Linked DNA regions of Anolis sagrei. The protein of the gene in region 1 purifies or fractionates together with the protein of each later gene. This does not show direct contact. Links are inferred from orthologs where the notes say so. Each region holds a gene or a part of one and is shown in the gene's direction. Other genes may lie near its edges.

What was found.
Region 2: the proteins of LLGL2 (region 1) and PARD6A purify together in Homo sapiens (affinity purification with mass spectrometry; 5 studies listed by BioGRID and IntAct, with this or other methods). This does not show direct contact. The link is inferred for Anolis sagrei from reciprocal best matches to the Homo sapiens genes LLGL2 and PARD6A.

Annotation. Positions count from the first base shown.
Region 1 is NC_090022.1:117,844,089-117,851,283, forward strand, and holds the start of LLGL2 (LLGL scribble cell polarity complex component 2), read left to right. Parts: upstream 1-4,085; 5' UTR 4,086-4,187; intron 4,188-4,305; exon of another isoform or gene 4,306-4,423; intron 4,424-7,195. UniProt on the Homo sapiens protein: Part of a complex with GPSM2/LGN, PRKCI/aPKC and PARD6B/Par-6, which may ensure the correct organization and orientation of bipolar spindles for normal cell division.
Region 2 is NC_090028.1:43,969,684-43,977,378, forward strand, and holds the start of PARD6A (partitioning defective 6 homolog alpha), read left to right. Parts: upstream 1-4,598; 5' UTR 4,599-4,669; coding exon 4,670-4,732; intron 4,733-7,695. UniProt on the Homo sapiens protein: Adapter protein involved in asymmetrical cell division and cell polarization processes. Probably involved in the formation of epithelial tight junctions.

The DNA of each region.
Region 1 (7,195 bases):
AGAGTTTATTGGAATACGCTTCAGTTTTACCTTCAAAGTTTATAATTTCATAAATAAATACCGATGAAAAGAGAATGTGTCTTATTTCATACATGTTTAGAGGCGGGAGAGGGTTGATTGCCTTATTTTTGTTATATGATGTGATGTGCACATGTGCAGGTTTGCAGTGGGAAAAATAATAAAAAGAAAATAGTTATAGATAGTGGGGCGAAGTGGAGGAGAAAGCAATGAAGTCTAGCGAGGGAGGAAGAGAGATATAGTGTATCTCTGGCAGTGAGGCAGGTTGATACTCTGTGGCACCAGCCATTGCTGGCTTCCCTGGGCTCTGGTTGTGCGCTGCTCCAGAAAGATCCCAGTAAACCAGCTGAGTTGGCAGGGTTTTTGGAAAATGGGGGTTATGCGTCGCTGATCAGGAGTGCTTAGGTGCAACTGGGGAGACTCAGTGAGGTGAGGGCCATGGCAACTCATGGAGGCCCTCCGCCCCCAGGAAACTACAACTCCCGCAGATACTGCATTTCCATGGTGGTGGTGGTGGTGGTGGTGGGGGGGGGGATTGGTGTTTGACAACAAAGCCATCAGTAAAAAAATAGCTTTGGCTTTGTGCAGACAGGAGGATGGAGGAAATAAGCCCAACATGTCTTCTAGTAATCCAGTACCTTAATATTTCTATCCCCATCCAATTTATTTGTAAAGAATCCACTTTATGTTGGTCAAACAGGGATCACCTTCCTGACAGTACAGTAAATAAAAAATCCTCAACGTTGGAATAAATCATATGCACTCCTTGGAAGTAGTCCAGTAAAAAACTACTTATTAACTGGGTGTCTTACCAAACCAAATATCAGTCATCCCTTCAATTTGGAGACAGAATGACAGATCAGGAGAGTGTTTGTATCCAGGGACACGGGCAAAATTATTATCAAACCAGAAGAAGGATTTATGCAGGCTTTCTGGAGTTTCCAGTTTTGTGTTGCTTAACAATGTGTTCTGTACTACAGAGCAGTGTCACAAAACAGGTGAAGGAGGACAGGTCCCACCCTGGGATTTAGTTTCAGTTCTTGCTCAGCCATCACAGGGGCCTCAGTGAGCAGCTTGCTAGGGAAAAAGAAGAAAGAAAGAAAAGAAACAAGGACTAGATGAAAGAGACAGGAAATCCCCTGGGGTTAAATTCACAATCTCTGTAATTCAGCTGAAACTAAATCTATTGGCTCATATTTCTTCTGATACTTTGCCCGGCACACATTGACTGCTTCTCCTGAGCTATGACTCACATCTCAATTACAAATCAACTGGTTCTGTGCAATTCCCCTTCTGAAGTCGGATAATATGGAAGAAATAACACATCACAACCTGGTGCAGATGTATTAAAGGCTAATGTTTTAAATGCAATGCCACAAAGAATGGCACCTTTTGGAGAAATTAGTCCTTGTTTTCTTTGTATTGTTTACTTCCAGTTGCCAGAGTGAGAGTGTTCCTGTGCCTTTAATGCTTGTGTAGAAGAGGACATTTTGGTGGATGTTGAATGTCAGACAAGCAGGTAAGAAGGTGACATACTCTGTTTTGCTCTGCACAACCATTTAAGGTCCAGGAGTCTTTCCAGTTTCACTCTGCCAACCCTTGTATTACCGTGTATTAACTACAGCCCGTGTGGTTACTAACTAAAAATATCCTCACACAATAGTTGTCACTGAATAATAGTCACACGCCCATTTTTAGGGTGGGAAATTAGTATTTTTCTGTTCCTCACAATAAGTGCACCTTTTATTCACTTGCCTGCACATCTGCTTGGGCGAGTGAAGGAAGGGTGCAACTCACCCATGTGCCTGCTTCCTTGGAGAGATGGGGTTTCACTTGGCTGGTGAAGCTCCAAGTGAAACCCCATAGTTGTAAATGGGGCAGGCATGTAGGCAGGGGAAGCTTCACTCGACCACACACCTGCCCCCTTTCTAGCTACAGGGCTTCACTTGTCTGGCAGCCAAGTGAAGCCCCATAGCTGGAAATTTTTTCACCCTGTAATAGTTGCCACAATGTAATAGTCACAAAAAAGCAAAAAAGGTGAGAAAAGTGTGACTATTATGCAGTGAAATATGGTACTTTTAAAAATATACTAAACTAGCTTATATACCTGGCATTCCCAGGTGTTGATGGTACCACTGCCTGTCTACTTTCTCCCTTCTTCAGCTCTGAAAAGGCTATTTCACAATGTTTCCCTTTTCTTTCTCCCCCACTCCCTCCTATCATTGCCTTTCCTTTCTTTATTCTCTTTCTTTCTTTCTGCTCGTAATTGTGTCCCCTTTCTTTCCGAGTGACATCACAGAGGACACCTTTATATAGCCACAAACAATCCAGTGACATCACAAAGGGCCACTTCACCTAATAACCTCCTTTGTGGTACAAATGGAAAAATATGCATGCATACATATATACTTTGAAATATATACAGAGAGAAACGATGATTATGATCATGGTTAAACAAATGATAGGTCTCCCGCCTTCATTCACTGAGGCTTGCAACCTTTAATCTGAATTTGTTTACTCAACCATAGATCCTATCAAATGATGTAGTTTACTTCCTGGTATGCCTCTTATTGTTGTAATAGTCCTTTTCAAAACATTTTGTGTCCAGTCGTAGCCTAAAGGTACACTTGAAGTTTGTTCCTTTAGTTCCTGGTAGGATAACATATCTCATGCTCTTGTCACCACAAAGTTCACAAAAAAGTTTCTTGCATGAATAGGAAGCTGTTTTGTGACACCTTTAAAGGCTAATAATAAAGCTGTTTCCTGCATGGGATGATGAAAGAAACATCATTGGCACCGATAATTATTACCTGTTAAAGATTTGTCGGCTTTGAGGGGGAGATGGAAGAAATAGGCAATGATTCCACTGAGTCACAACTACAAATATTTTCTTGTCACTGTGACCCACATTGGCCCCATGTATGCTGCCATATAATGCAGCTTGACACTGCATTTTATGGCAATGTAGATGGGGCCATAGCTATACCCACATTTAATTAATGTAGTGGAGCACTGACTTCTAAAAGCTACCCTGGAAAATGAAATTCTCCCTTCATGTTTAGAATAAGAAGCATCGTTCAGTTAGGATCCCATGGGGCATTCTTTGGCTCTCTAAGGGACCCCTACAATACGGCTTAGCTTCTGCCAGCCTAGCAGTTTGAAAACATGCAAATGTGAGTAGATGAATAGCTACTGCTCCAGAAGGAAGGTAACGGTGCTCCATGCAGTCATGCCAGCCACATGACTTTGGAGGCGTCTACGGACAACACCAGCGCTTCGGCTTAGAAATGGTGACAAGCACTAACCCCCAGAGTCAGACATGACTAGACAATGTCAGGGGAAAACCTTTACCTTTTCTTTTTCTGCTCCAGAAATAAGGCCGCAGCACAAAAATTAGAAGAGAGGAAATACAATTTGATTTTGAAACTAATGCAGAACTTGGGTTTGGGTCTTAACAGTCAATTGGCTTAAAATGGGGTGGGCAGAATATAGAGAGAGCTAGTATAGTGGCTTAAGGATGCATCTACACGGAAGAATTGATGCATATTGACACCATTAACTGTCATGTAGTTTTGCAAGGTCTGTAGCCTTCTCTGCTGCTGCTAAGTATTGGGAAATCACCAAACTCCCTGGATCCTATCGCATGGCAGTAAAGTAGTGTCAGAAAGAATTAATGATGGGGTTTTTGTAAGTTAAAGATTAACTGTATGGCCATGTTCCAGAAGCATTTTCTCCTGACGTTTCGCCTGCATCTATGGCAGGCATGCTCATTACAGTGTAGTGTGAAAAATACACCCCCTACTCTCCCCTCCCCTCCCCATTGGCTCAGAAGGAGCATGCACTTCTGATTCCAATTCTCCCTTCCTCTCCCCCCCCCCCCCCCCGCTCCCTCTGCTCTTTTTCTATTGGCCAGAGCTAAAGAGTGAGAGATAGAAGAGAAAGGCGGAGGAAGAAGGAGGAGGAGGGGGGGGGGTATGAGCTCTGACTCCCGATTGGCTGCGGTGAATAATGACTCAGGAGCCGGGTTGAAAGAAGGCGCCGCGCTAACCCCGCCCTTTCGCCGGGGCTCATTTGCATATCCGGCGGGAACGCCCCCTCCCGGAGGTATCCAGGAAGGCGAGGCGGCGGCGCTGCTGCTGCTGCTGCTGCTCGAAGGGCGAGATTGTGCGGTAAGCAACGAGATATGGAGAGCCGGAGGAAGGGGGGGGGGGGAGAGAGAGAAAGGAGAGGGTGGGCGTGGAAATAGGGCCAAGGCTGCAAGTAAGGGGGTGGGGTTGGGAGGGAGAGAAAGAGAGAGATCGAGGGAGAGAGAAAGAAAGAAAGAAAAGGGAAGAGGCAAGCTTTCCTTCCTTCCTTCCTTCCTTCCTTGTGGGGTGGGGTTACAGCTTTGCCTCCCTGCTGGAAGGTAAGTTTGCAGCCGGGCTTTGCTGAAGTGTGTGTTTTGGGGAGGGTATGGGAACAGATTTGGGGTGCTTCTCTTTTGACCTCAAGTATGAGGGGGATGGGGTAGAAGGCCAGGGTTTGGGGGAGGGGGGCTGTCTGGAGCCTGACACTTGCTGTGTACTCCAATCAGCTCTCTTGTTAGGATCTGATTGAGGGTGCATCCACACTGCTGAATGAATGCACTTTGATACCACTTTAACTACCATGGTTCAATGCTTTGGGATCCAGGGAGTTGTGGTTTCATTAGGTCTGTAGCCTTCTCTGCCAGAGAGTGCTGGGCTTCATCAAACTACAGCTCCCAGGATTCCATAGCATTGTGGCATAGCAATTAAACTGGTGCTGGACCGCATTAATTCAACAGTGTAGACCAGGCATGGGCAAACTTGGGCCCTCCATGTATTTTGGATTTCAACTCCCACAATTCCTGTTAGGAATTGTGGGAGTTGGAGTCCAAAACACCTGGAGGGCCTAAGTTTGCCCATGCCTGGTGTAGATGCACTCGCAAACACTAGGACACAAGAGTTTTTGGGTGGATGGGGTTGGATCTGACAGTATCTCAGGTTGGATGAGGCTTTGCTAAAGGTGAGGGTGGGCCGACCTTGGGGAGCCTGCCATTGTGGGCTGAGAGACTTACCTGGGTGAAAGGAACTAGTTCCAGGTGTTAGGTTTCCGGGTGTGGTGCGGCCTTTCTGGTGCTTTGTTCGCCTGGCCTTGCAGTGTGGCTTGAAACCGAAGGTATTCTGGGAGGTGGTTTGCTCTTCTCCCTATAAGGACACTTTTGTTTGCACAGGTGCCAGGGTGAGCAGCAAAGCAAGGCTATAACCTCGCTCCCCGTGGCTATTATTTGTTTCAGGTTGCTCTCTTTTTTTCCTTAATGCCACTTTATGAGTTGACGAAGGCCAAGGTAGTCATTTGGCATAAAAGTGCTTCCTTTTGTAAGCTTGCTTGAATAGAATAAAAGTGCTTGGCAGAAAGCAGACAATGATCTTGCCACAAGACAGAGATTTGAGGGTTAATTTATGCAATGAGAGAAAGCCAATGCTTTGGCACATTTAGGGTGCATCTATACAGTAAGATTAAAACTTCTATACAGTAAGAGGCGCCTTCTTTGGAGTCTTTAAACAGAGGCTGGATGGCCATCTATCGGGGGTGCTTTGAATTCAATTTCCCTGCTTCTTGGCAGAATGGGGTTGGACTGGATGGCCCACAAGGTCTCTTCCAACTCTATGATTCTATAAAACAGTTTGATCCCACTTTTAACTGCCATGATTCAATGCTATGGAATTGTGGATGTTGTAGTTTGGCGAGGCACCAGTACTCTAACAGAGAAAGCTATAGATCTTTTAAAACTAGCTATGGCAGTTGAAGTGGGGTCAAACTGCATTAATTCTATAGTGTAGATGTATCCTTGATCGAGATAGTTCTGAAGTTGGGTTGCTGTGAGTTTTCCAGGCAGTATGGCCATGTTCCAGGAGCATTCCCCCCTGATGTTTCACCCACATCTACGGCAGGCATCCTCAGAGGTTATGAAGTCTGCTAGAAACTAGGCCAGTGAGGTTTATATATCTGTGGAATGTCCAGGTTGGGAGAAAGAACTCTTGTCTGCTTGAGGCAAGTGTGAATGTTGCAATTGGCCAGCTTGATTAGCATTGAATAGCCTGGCAGCTTCAAAGCCTGGCTGTTTCCTGCCTGTGGTATCCTTTTTTGGGAGGTGTTAGCTGGCCCTGATTGTTTCCTGTCTGAAATTCCCTGTTTTTTGACTGTTGCTCTTTATTTGATGTCATGGAGTTTTTAATACAGGCAACCAGTTCTTAAGTTGTAAAAAGCTATCCTGAATTAAGTAGCTATTCTTTATGGAGATGACTGTCGTTCACAAACTGAACCAGGTTTGACTTAAATTAAAGCCTGAGGAAATTTATCTTTGGGCTATAACAACTTGAATTTATCTTCCAGAAAACAATTTCTATAACCTGACGGGATGGGGCATTCTGGGAGTTGTAGTACAAAAATAACTTTGCTGAAGTTGGTTTGATGTAATGACTGCCTCTGCTGATAAGCCTGAGGCAAACTGAAACCTCCATGCAATCTTTTAGCAATTTGAATCGACAGAACTCCCTGCCTAATAAAGGGGCTTGTCTTGTTGAGTTTCGACTACTGAAAATGGCCTTGCTACACCCCCTGAGGCAAAGCAAAGCAGGAAGCTAACAAAATCCCACACCTAAAGGCTTGTAAACTCCTTTCCTGCTTTTCTTGGAGTCTTATTTGGAGGCAGAGCATCCAAACTACAGTTTCTAATGCAAGCGGGATTCTTCAGACAGTAAAGGATTGTTGGCTGAAATAGGGACATTGTTGGAGGAAGGGCAACACATTACCAGGTCTCATTTATTCCAGCCTGTTTTGGTGAAAACTGGATCCCTTTGAAATACTTTCCCTTATTGTTGGGAATAAATCCCTCTGTGGTTGTCTTATTAATAGTCTTTCACCAGGTTTTCATTCCCAGGCTCAGACAATGGCTTATTATTCTAGATCAATGACTTGCTTCCTTTGCCCTTCACCTCTACCTGTTCTGCTGTGAAAATGGTTGTCATCTTTGCCTTTGAGGGACAGCAGACGGCCATGCAATTCTGCCTTCCCCAATCATAGGGCTGGAGATTGTGCAGCCCCCTTGGTGAACTTGGAGTTCAGCTCCCAGCATCCCTGATAAATTCACTCAGAAGTATTGAATGCTGGGAGC
Region 2 (7,695 bases), on another chromosome or scaffold:
TTCTTAGATCTACAGAGACACTCGCTGGAACACCCCAGCAAGCGAGAGTCCAAAAGTGGCAGGCCCAAACCCAGCACCTCAATTCGTGGGTGATACCAGATGAGAAACTCCCCCCTGGGCACACAGAAGACTGGGTGACTTGGAAGGCGCTGAACAGACTGCGCTCTGGCACCACGAGATGCAGAGCCAATCTTAAGAAATGGGGCTACAGGGTGGAATCCACGGCATGCGAGTGCGGAGAAGAGCAAACCACTGACCACCTGCTGCAATGCACCCTGAGCCCTGCCACATGCACAATGGAGGATCTCCTTGCGGCAACCCCAGAGGCACTCCAAGTGGCCAGATACTGGTCAAAGGACATTTAACCAAATACCAAATTTGCAAAATCTGTGTGTTTTTTTTTTCCTTTTTCTTTTTAATCGGTGTGTTTGTTTTGCTCTGTTAGAATTGCAATACAATGGTTACTGATGACACGATAAATAAATAAATAGCAGCATGTAGTGCAAAACTTTAGTGGGGAGCTCAGGACAAGCGATTACTTAATCACACTAGAGAATGAATCCACTTTAAGTCCAGATTCTGCCTCCTGCAGAATTCTGGGGTTTGTAGTTTAATGAGGCTGTTAAAAGCTCCCCTCTAAACTACAAACCCCAGAATTCTGCAGGAGGCAGAATCTGGATTTAGAGTGGATTCATTCTCTAGCGTGATGAGGTCGCAAGTCCCACTGCAGCAGAAAAACCTCAAAAGAGACAAACCCCCTGAAATCCTACAACAATGCAAAATATGCATCCCACCCATGATAACCCGCACATAAGATGGTTATGCATCAATGTGCAGCCAAGGTTAAGGCTGTGCAGAGAGACCTCTGCCAGCCATATTCCAGAGTAGTCTAGCAGTGGATGAGAGGCTGAACGTCTGAGCTACACTGTGACAAGTCGGTAGAGGCAACATCTTTCAGCACCAAAGGCATCATCATCCCTTCCACATAGAGCGAATTGCAGCTTACCAAAGGAGAGGCCTTTTGGGTTCAGAAAGGGAACGGCTACTGCGAGAGAAGGAAAACATGCCTAGTGTCGAGAAATTGGATTTTCCCTTTCAGTGTCATTTAAACCTTAGAGCCTCTAAAAGAAATGTATTGGCAACAGTTTCAGAACAGGCCGTGCTTTGTCCCAAAATGCGCACCAGAACGGATCGTCTTATGTTTCTTACTTTTCATGATCAAGGAGATAAGATATGGCAAAGCGCACGACGACGGCACACTTTCCAAACTGATATGTAAACAAGGAGAAAGAAAGGAAGAAAGAAAGAAACCCAGCTTGGCAGCACGGCTGTTGCCAACTCTTACCCAATGTATTCCATCTCTAGCCAAGCCGAGAGATCCTTTCAAAGTGTAAAATCAAATTAAAAACAACAACAACAACAACAAAAGCATGCTATTAAACTGGGAGAAAAATCTCTTTCATGTCCAAAAAACCCCGTTTCAAACCCCCCCAGTGGCAGGAAAACTTGGCAACCGTCAGGGTGACAGCAAAAAGATCTAAAGGCTTTGATCCAAAAATAAATAAAGGAAGAGCGTCAAGTGTTTTCCCCAGTTTTTATTTCAAGTCTAAAATTCATGATGTTGAAACAGACTTGTGCGGCTGGAGAGAGGCCGGTCTGTTGTGGAGCCTTTGAAGACTTGTCACGGGCAGCTTCAGCCCATTCCTGGGTTTAAGAACTACTAGCCATCCCCTGCCACGCATTGCTGTGGCCCAGTCTGTGTATATGTGTTTTGTGCGTGTATATATGTGTATATGTGTCTGTGTATGTGTTTATGCATAAATATATATTTGTGCATGTGCGTATATATGTGTGTTTGCATATATATGTGTGTGGTTTTGCACATGCATTGGAATGTTGTTCTTTTTTAGGCTTTTAAGTCCCTTCTGCTGTGTTTTCCAGTGTTTTTCTGAGTGATGGTCACTCATTGGCCTGAGAGGGGTCTTGGTCCAAATTTGGTGTCCATTCGTCCAGTGGTTTTTCAGTTTCATTAATCCCACAAACAAACATTACATTTTTATTTATATAGACTAGCCATCCCCTGCCACACGTTGCTGTGACCCAGTCTGTGTATATGAGTTTTGTTTGTGTATGTATGTGTATATGTGTGTGTGTATGTGTTTATGCATAAATACACATGTGGTTATGCCAAAACCCACAGTGGGTTAAACTGTTAAACTTGCTAATGGAAAGGTCGTAGGTTCGAATCCGGGGAGTGGAGTGAGCTCCCTCTATTAGCCCCAGCTTCTGCCAACCTAGCTTGGGAGTGATCCTGGACTCATCGCTGAGCCTGGAACCCCAGGTCTTGGCGGTGGCCGGGAGAGCTTTTGCGCAATTAAAACTTGTGCACCAGTTGCACCCATACCTTGGGAAGTCTGATCTGGCCATGATGATCCATGCTCTTGTTACATCCCGAATAGACTACTGCAACGCGCTCTACGTGGGGTTGCCCTTGAAGACTGTTCGGAAACTTCAACTAGTCCAGCGAGTGGCAGCCAGATTGCTCACTGGAGCGACATACAGGGAGCACACCACCCCCCTGCTATGCCAGCTCCACTGGCTGCCAGTTCAATTCCGAGCACAATTCAAGGTGCTGGTTTTAACCTACAAAACCCTGTGCGGTTCTGGTCCAGTGTATCTGTCTGAACGTATCTCCCTTTACGTCCCACCTCGGAGTTTGAGATCATCTGGGGAGGCCCTGCTCTCGACCCCACCACTGTCACAAGTGAGGCTGGTGGGGACGAGAAGCAGGGCCTTCTCAGTGGTGACCCCTCACCTGTGGAACTCACTCCCGGGGGAAATTAGAGCATCACCATCCCTCCTCTCCTTCAGGAGGAGGGTGAAGACATGGTTGTGGAACCAGGCCTTTGGGCAACCAGGCAATTAAATAAGACAATTAAATAAGACAATCAGATGTGCAAGATCAGCAGGATTGTTGAAGTGGAATCAAAAACAGATCTATGAGTTAGTGTACACTGATAGGGTAGGAGGAAGAATTAGGTTTGTATTGATTTTATTGATTTTATCGATTTTAATTGTTTTTATTGGGATAATGGCTTGAATTGTGCTAACTATGAATTGTTGTACTTCTGTGATGATTGTTTTGTGTGGCAGGCATCTAAGCGTGCCTTTGCTGTTGTAAGCCGCCCTGGGTCCCCTACGAGGTGAGTAGGGCGGGGTACAAGAACCTCAAATAAATAAATAAATAAATAAATAAATAAATAAAATTCGAAAACATGCAAATGTGTGAGCAGATCAATAGGTACCTCTCTGGCGGGAAGGTAAGGGTGCTCCATGCAGTCATGCAGGCCACATGACTTTGGAGGTGTCTGTGGACAACGCCGGCTCTTGGGCTTAGAAATGGAGATGAGCACCAACACACACACACCCCGAATCGGAGACAACTGGACTTAATGTCAGTGGAACAATGTGGTTATGTGCGTGCATTGTAGTGTGGGTTTTTTTTTTTTTTTGGCTTTTTAAGTCTTGTCTGCTGTGTTTTTCAGTGTTTTTATAAGTGATGGTCACTCCGTGGCCTGATTGATGTATTGTCTGTTCTTTCCCTCCTTCCTTCTTTCCTTCCATTTCAGTCTTCCCTTCCTGCTTTCCTTCCTTTCTATCTTTTTTCTTTCCTTCCCTCCTTCCTTTTTCCTTGTCTTTCTTTCGCCTCTTCCTTCTTTCTTTCCTGCCTTTTTTTCCTTTCCTTCCTTTTCTGTCTTTCTTTCTCCCCTTCCTTATTTCCCTCCTTCCTTCTTTCCTTCCATTTCAGTCTTCCCTTCCGTCTTCCCTTCCTTTCTTTTTTCTTTCCTTCTTTCCTTTATTTTTTCTGTCTTTCCTTCTCTCCTGCCTTTTTTCCTTGTCTTTCTTTCTCCTCTTCCTTCTTTCTTTCTTGCCTTTTCCCCTTTCCTTCCATTTCAGTCTTCCCTTCCGTCTTTCCTTTCTATCTTTTTTCTTTCCTTCCTTCCTTTATTTTTTCTGTCTTTCCTTCCCTTCTTCCTTTTTTCCTTGTCTTTCTTTCTCCCCTTCCTTCCTTTCCTACCTTTTCCCTTTCCTTCCTTTCCTTCTTTCTTTCCTTCTTTCTTTCCTACCTTTTTTCCTTTCCTCTTTCCTTTCCTTTCCCACCTTCCTTCCTTCTTTCTTTCCTTTCCTTTCCTTCCTCCCTCCCTCCCTTCTGTTTCTGCCCCCCCCCCTCCCCAGCCGTGATGCTGCTCCCGACTCAGGTGCTGGACCCACAACCGGGATGGCAGCGGGGCAGGTCCCTGGCGAGGCGGGGTGGGGGTTGCGGGGTTGCGGGGGGGGGGGTGCGCCCCGGTTGCCAAGGCGACGTTGTGGGCCTCCCTCCCTCCTTCCCCGGGGGGGGGGGGCGTCCTGCTCGTCCCGCCCCTTTTCGGCGGCGCTTCTGCGGCCAATGGCGCGCCTCACTCTCCCGCAACCAACCTGCGGGGCCGGTGACGTCAGGCGCGGCGGCGGCGGCGGCGGCGGCGGCGGTGGTGGTGGCGGGGGCGAGATCCCCGGGTCCGCCTGCCTGCCTGCAGAGGAGGAGGAGGAGGCGGAGGCAGAGGGGGAGCCGGGCTAGCCCCCTCCTCTCCTCTGCTCTCCCTTTCCTCCTGTCCCGGTGGGTCCCCCCAGCATGGCCAAGCCCCACCGGACGCCGGCGCGCGCCTCCGAGCCCGTCATCGAGGTCAAGAGCAAGGTGAGCAGTAGTCCGCAGCAGGTGCCCTCCCTCTCCCCCCCCCACCCCGGGATGGATGGTGGGGGTCTCGGCGCCTCCGCCTCCTACGCCCCCCCCCCGCCCCCCAGGCGCCCTCCCAGCAGGGATTATGCAACCAGGAGGAGACCGGCTGGGGAGGGAGGGAGGGAGGCCTCCGGAGGGGGGGGGGGCTCCTTCCTCCTTCCTTCCTTCCTTCCTTCCTTCCCAGGCACAGCCATTGGTGAGAGAGGATGCTCCGGCTTCCCATTGCCTTCCCATCAGGAGCATTATTTTAGAGCACTGGTACTATTGTGTATCTCTCTGTGTGTGTGTGTATAGAGAGAGAGAGAGAGAGAGAAAGAGTTATTTTTCAATATTTTATTGCCATTATATTATTATTTTATATTACTATATATATATATATATATATATAAATAATTTTATCTCTGTTTATTATTATTATTATTATAGTATTATTGTATGCATATATATATTGTTTATATTATTTTGTTGACATTATATTATTACATGTATTATTTTATAGTATTATTGTATGTGTATATATAAACACATTGTTATTTTATATTATTTTGTTGCCATTGTATGTTATTTTATAATAGTATTATTATATATTGTTTTATTTCATATAATTTATTATTATTATAGTATTATTGTATGTGCATATATATAGTTATTTTATATTATTTTGTTGCTAATTATTATATATTATTTGATATTAATATTATTATATATTATTTTATTTCATATAATTTATTATTATTATAGTATTATTGTATGTACATATAGTTATTTTATATTATTTTGTTGCCATATTATTATATATTATTTGATATTAGTATTATAAACACACACATATATATACATATACATATATATAATTTCACATGAATCATATTATTTATTTATATTTATTTATATATTTATATTTATTTATATATTTTAGAGGACATTGACTGGAACAGCAATTCGACTGACAAGACTGTTTTATTGTTTTAATGCTTGTTGATGTATTGTTTTAACTTTGATTGATGTTTAATTGTGGTTTTACTATTGTAATTGTTTGTATTGGCATCGTATCGGTGCCGATGTAAGGCATTGAAACTTGCCATTATTTATGTGTAAATCGCTTTGAGGCCCCCCAGGGGTGAGAAAGGCAGGATATACATACTGTAAATAAAATAAATAAATAAATTTATGATTATTTTGTTAATATTATTAGTCTATTGTGTATTCAGTATATATTAATACTTTATATTATCTTATTCCTATTATTTCATATTATATTGCTATTATAATAATATAGTACAATATATTAATATAATACAATTGTATATTATGTATTACAGGTCATCTTACTAATAATTATTTGCAGTATAGTGGTGTAGTGCAATATAGTAATATATAACATTAGTATTGAGCTATGCTAATAATATCATATATTGTATATAGATATAATATTTATAATAATATTATAATGTAATACAATATGATACTAATAATAATACAATATTACAATATGTAGTAAGAATATTGCAATATAGTAATGGCCTCCTGGTGGTGCAGTGGGTTAAACTGCTGAGCTGCTGAACTTGCTGACCAAATGGTTGGTGGTTCGAATCCAGGGAGCAGGGTGAGCTCCTGCTGTTAGTCCCAGCTTCTGCCAAACTAGCAGTTCAAAAACATGCAGATGTGAGTATATTAATAGGTACTGCTTCGGCAGCAAGGTAATGGTGCTCCATGCAGACATGCCAGTGGCCACATGACCTTGGAAGCGTCTACGGACAATGCCGGCTCTTCAGCTTAGAAATGAAGATGAGCACCCTAGTCTTGTCCAACTCTGGGGATTGGTGCTCATAGAATCCTAGAATCCAAGAGTTGGAAGAGACCTCCTGGGCCATCATCCAGTCCAACCCCATTCTGCCAGGAAGCAGGAATATTGCATTCAAATCACCCCTGACAGATGGCCATCCAGCCTCTGCTTAAATGCTTCCAAAGACGGAGCCTCCACCACACTCCGGGGCAGAGAGTTCCACTGCTGAACAGCTCTCACAGCCAGGAAGTTCTTCCTCATGTTCAGATGGAATCTCCTTTCTTGTAGTTTGAAGCTATTGCTCCATTGCGTCCTAGTCTCCAAGGAAGCAGAAAACAAGCTTGCTCCCTCCTCCTCCCTGTGGCTTCCTCTCACCTCCTGATCCATGGCCCTCATCATGTCTCCTCTCAGCCTTCTCTTCTTCAGGCTAAACACACCCAGCTCCTTAAGCCGCTCCTCATAGGGCTTGTTCTCCAGGCCCTTGATCATTTTGTTGTTGTTCATTCGTTCAGTCGTCTCCGACTCTTCGTGACCTCATGGACCAGCCCACGCCAGAGCTCCCTGTCGGCCGTTACCACCCCCAGCTCCCTCAAGGTCAGTCCAGTCACTTCAAGGATGCCATCCATCCATCTTGCCCTTGGTCGGCCCCTCTTCCTTTTGCCTTCCACTTTCCCCAGCATAATTGTCTTCTCTAGGCTTTCCTGTCTCCTCATGATGTGGCCAAAGTACTTCAACTTTGTCTCTATTGATCATTTTAGACGCCCTCTTCCTCTGGACACATTCCAGCTTGTCAATATCTCTCTTCAATTGTGGCGCCCAGAATTGGACACAATATTCCAGGTGTGGTCTAACCAAAGCATCTCCATTTCTAAGCCGAAGAGCTGGCGTTGTCCATAGACGCCTCCAAGGTCATGTGGCCAGCATGACTGTATGGAGTGCTGTTACCTTCCCGCTGGAGTGATACTTATTGATCTACTCACATTTGCATGTTTTCAAATTGCTAGGTTGGCAGAAGCTGGGGCTAACAGTGGGAGCTCACCCAACTCCCTGAATTCGATCAGCAAGTTCAACAGCTCACTGCACCACCGGGGGGAGGGGGGCGAATATTTTTCAACTTATTAAAATATTACTTATT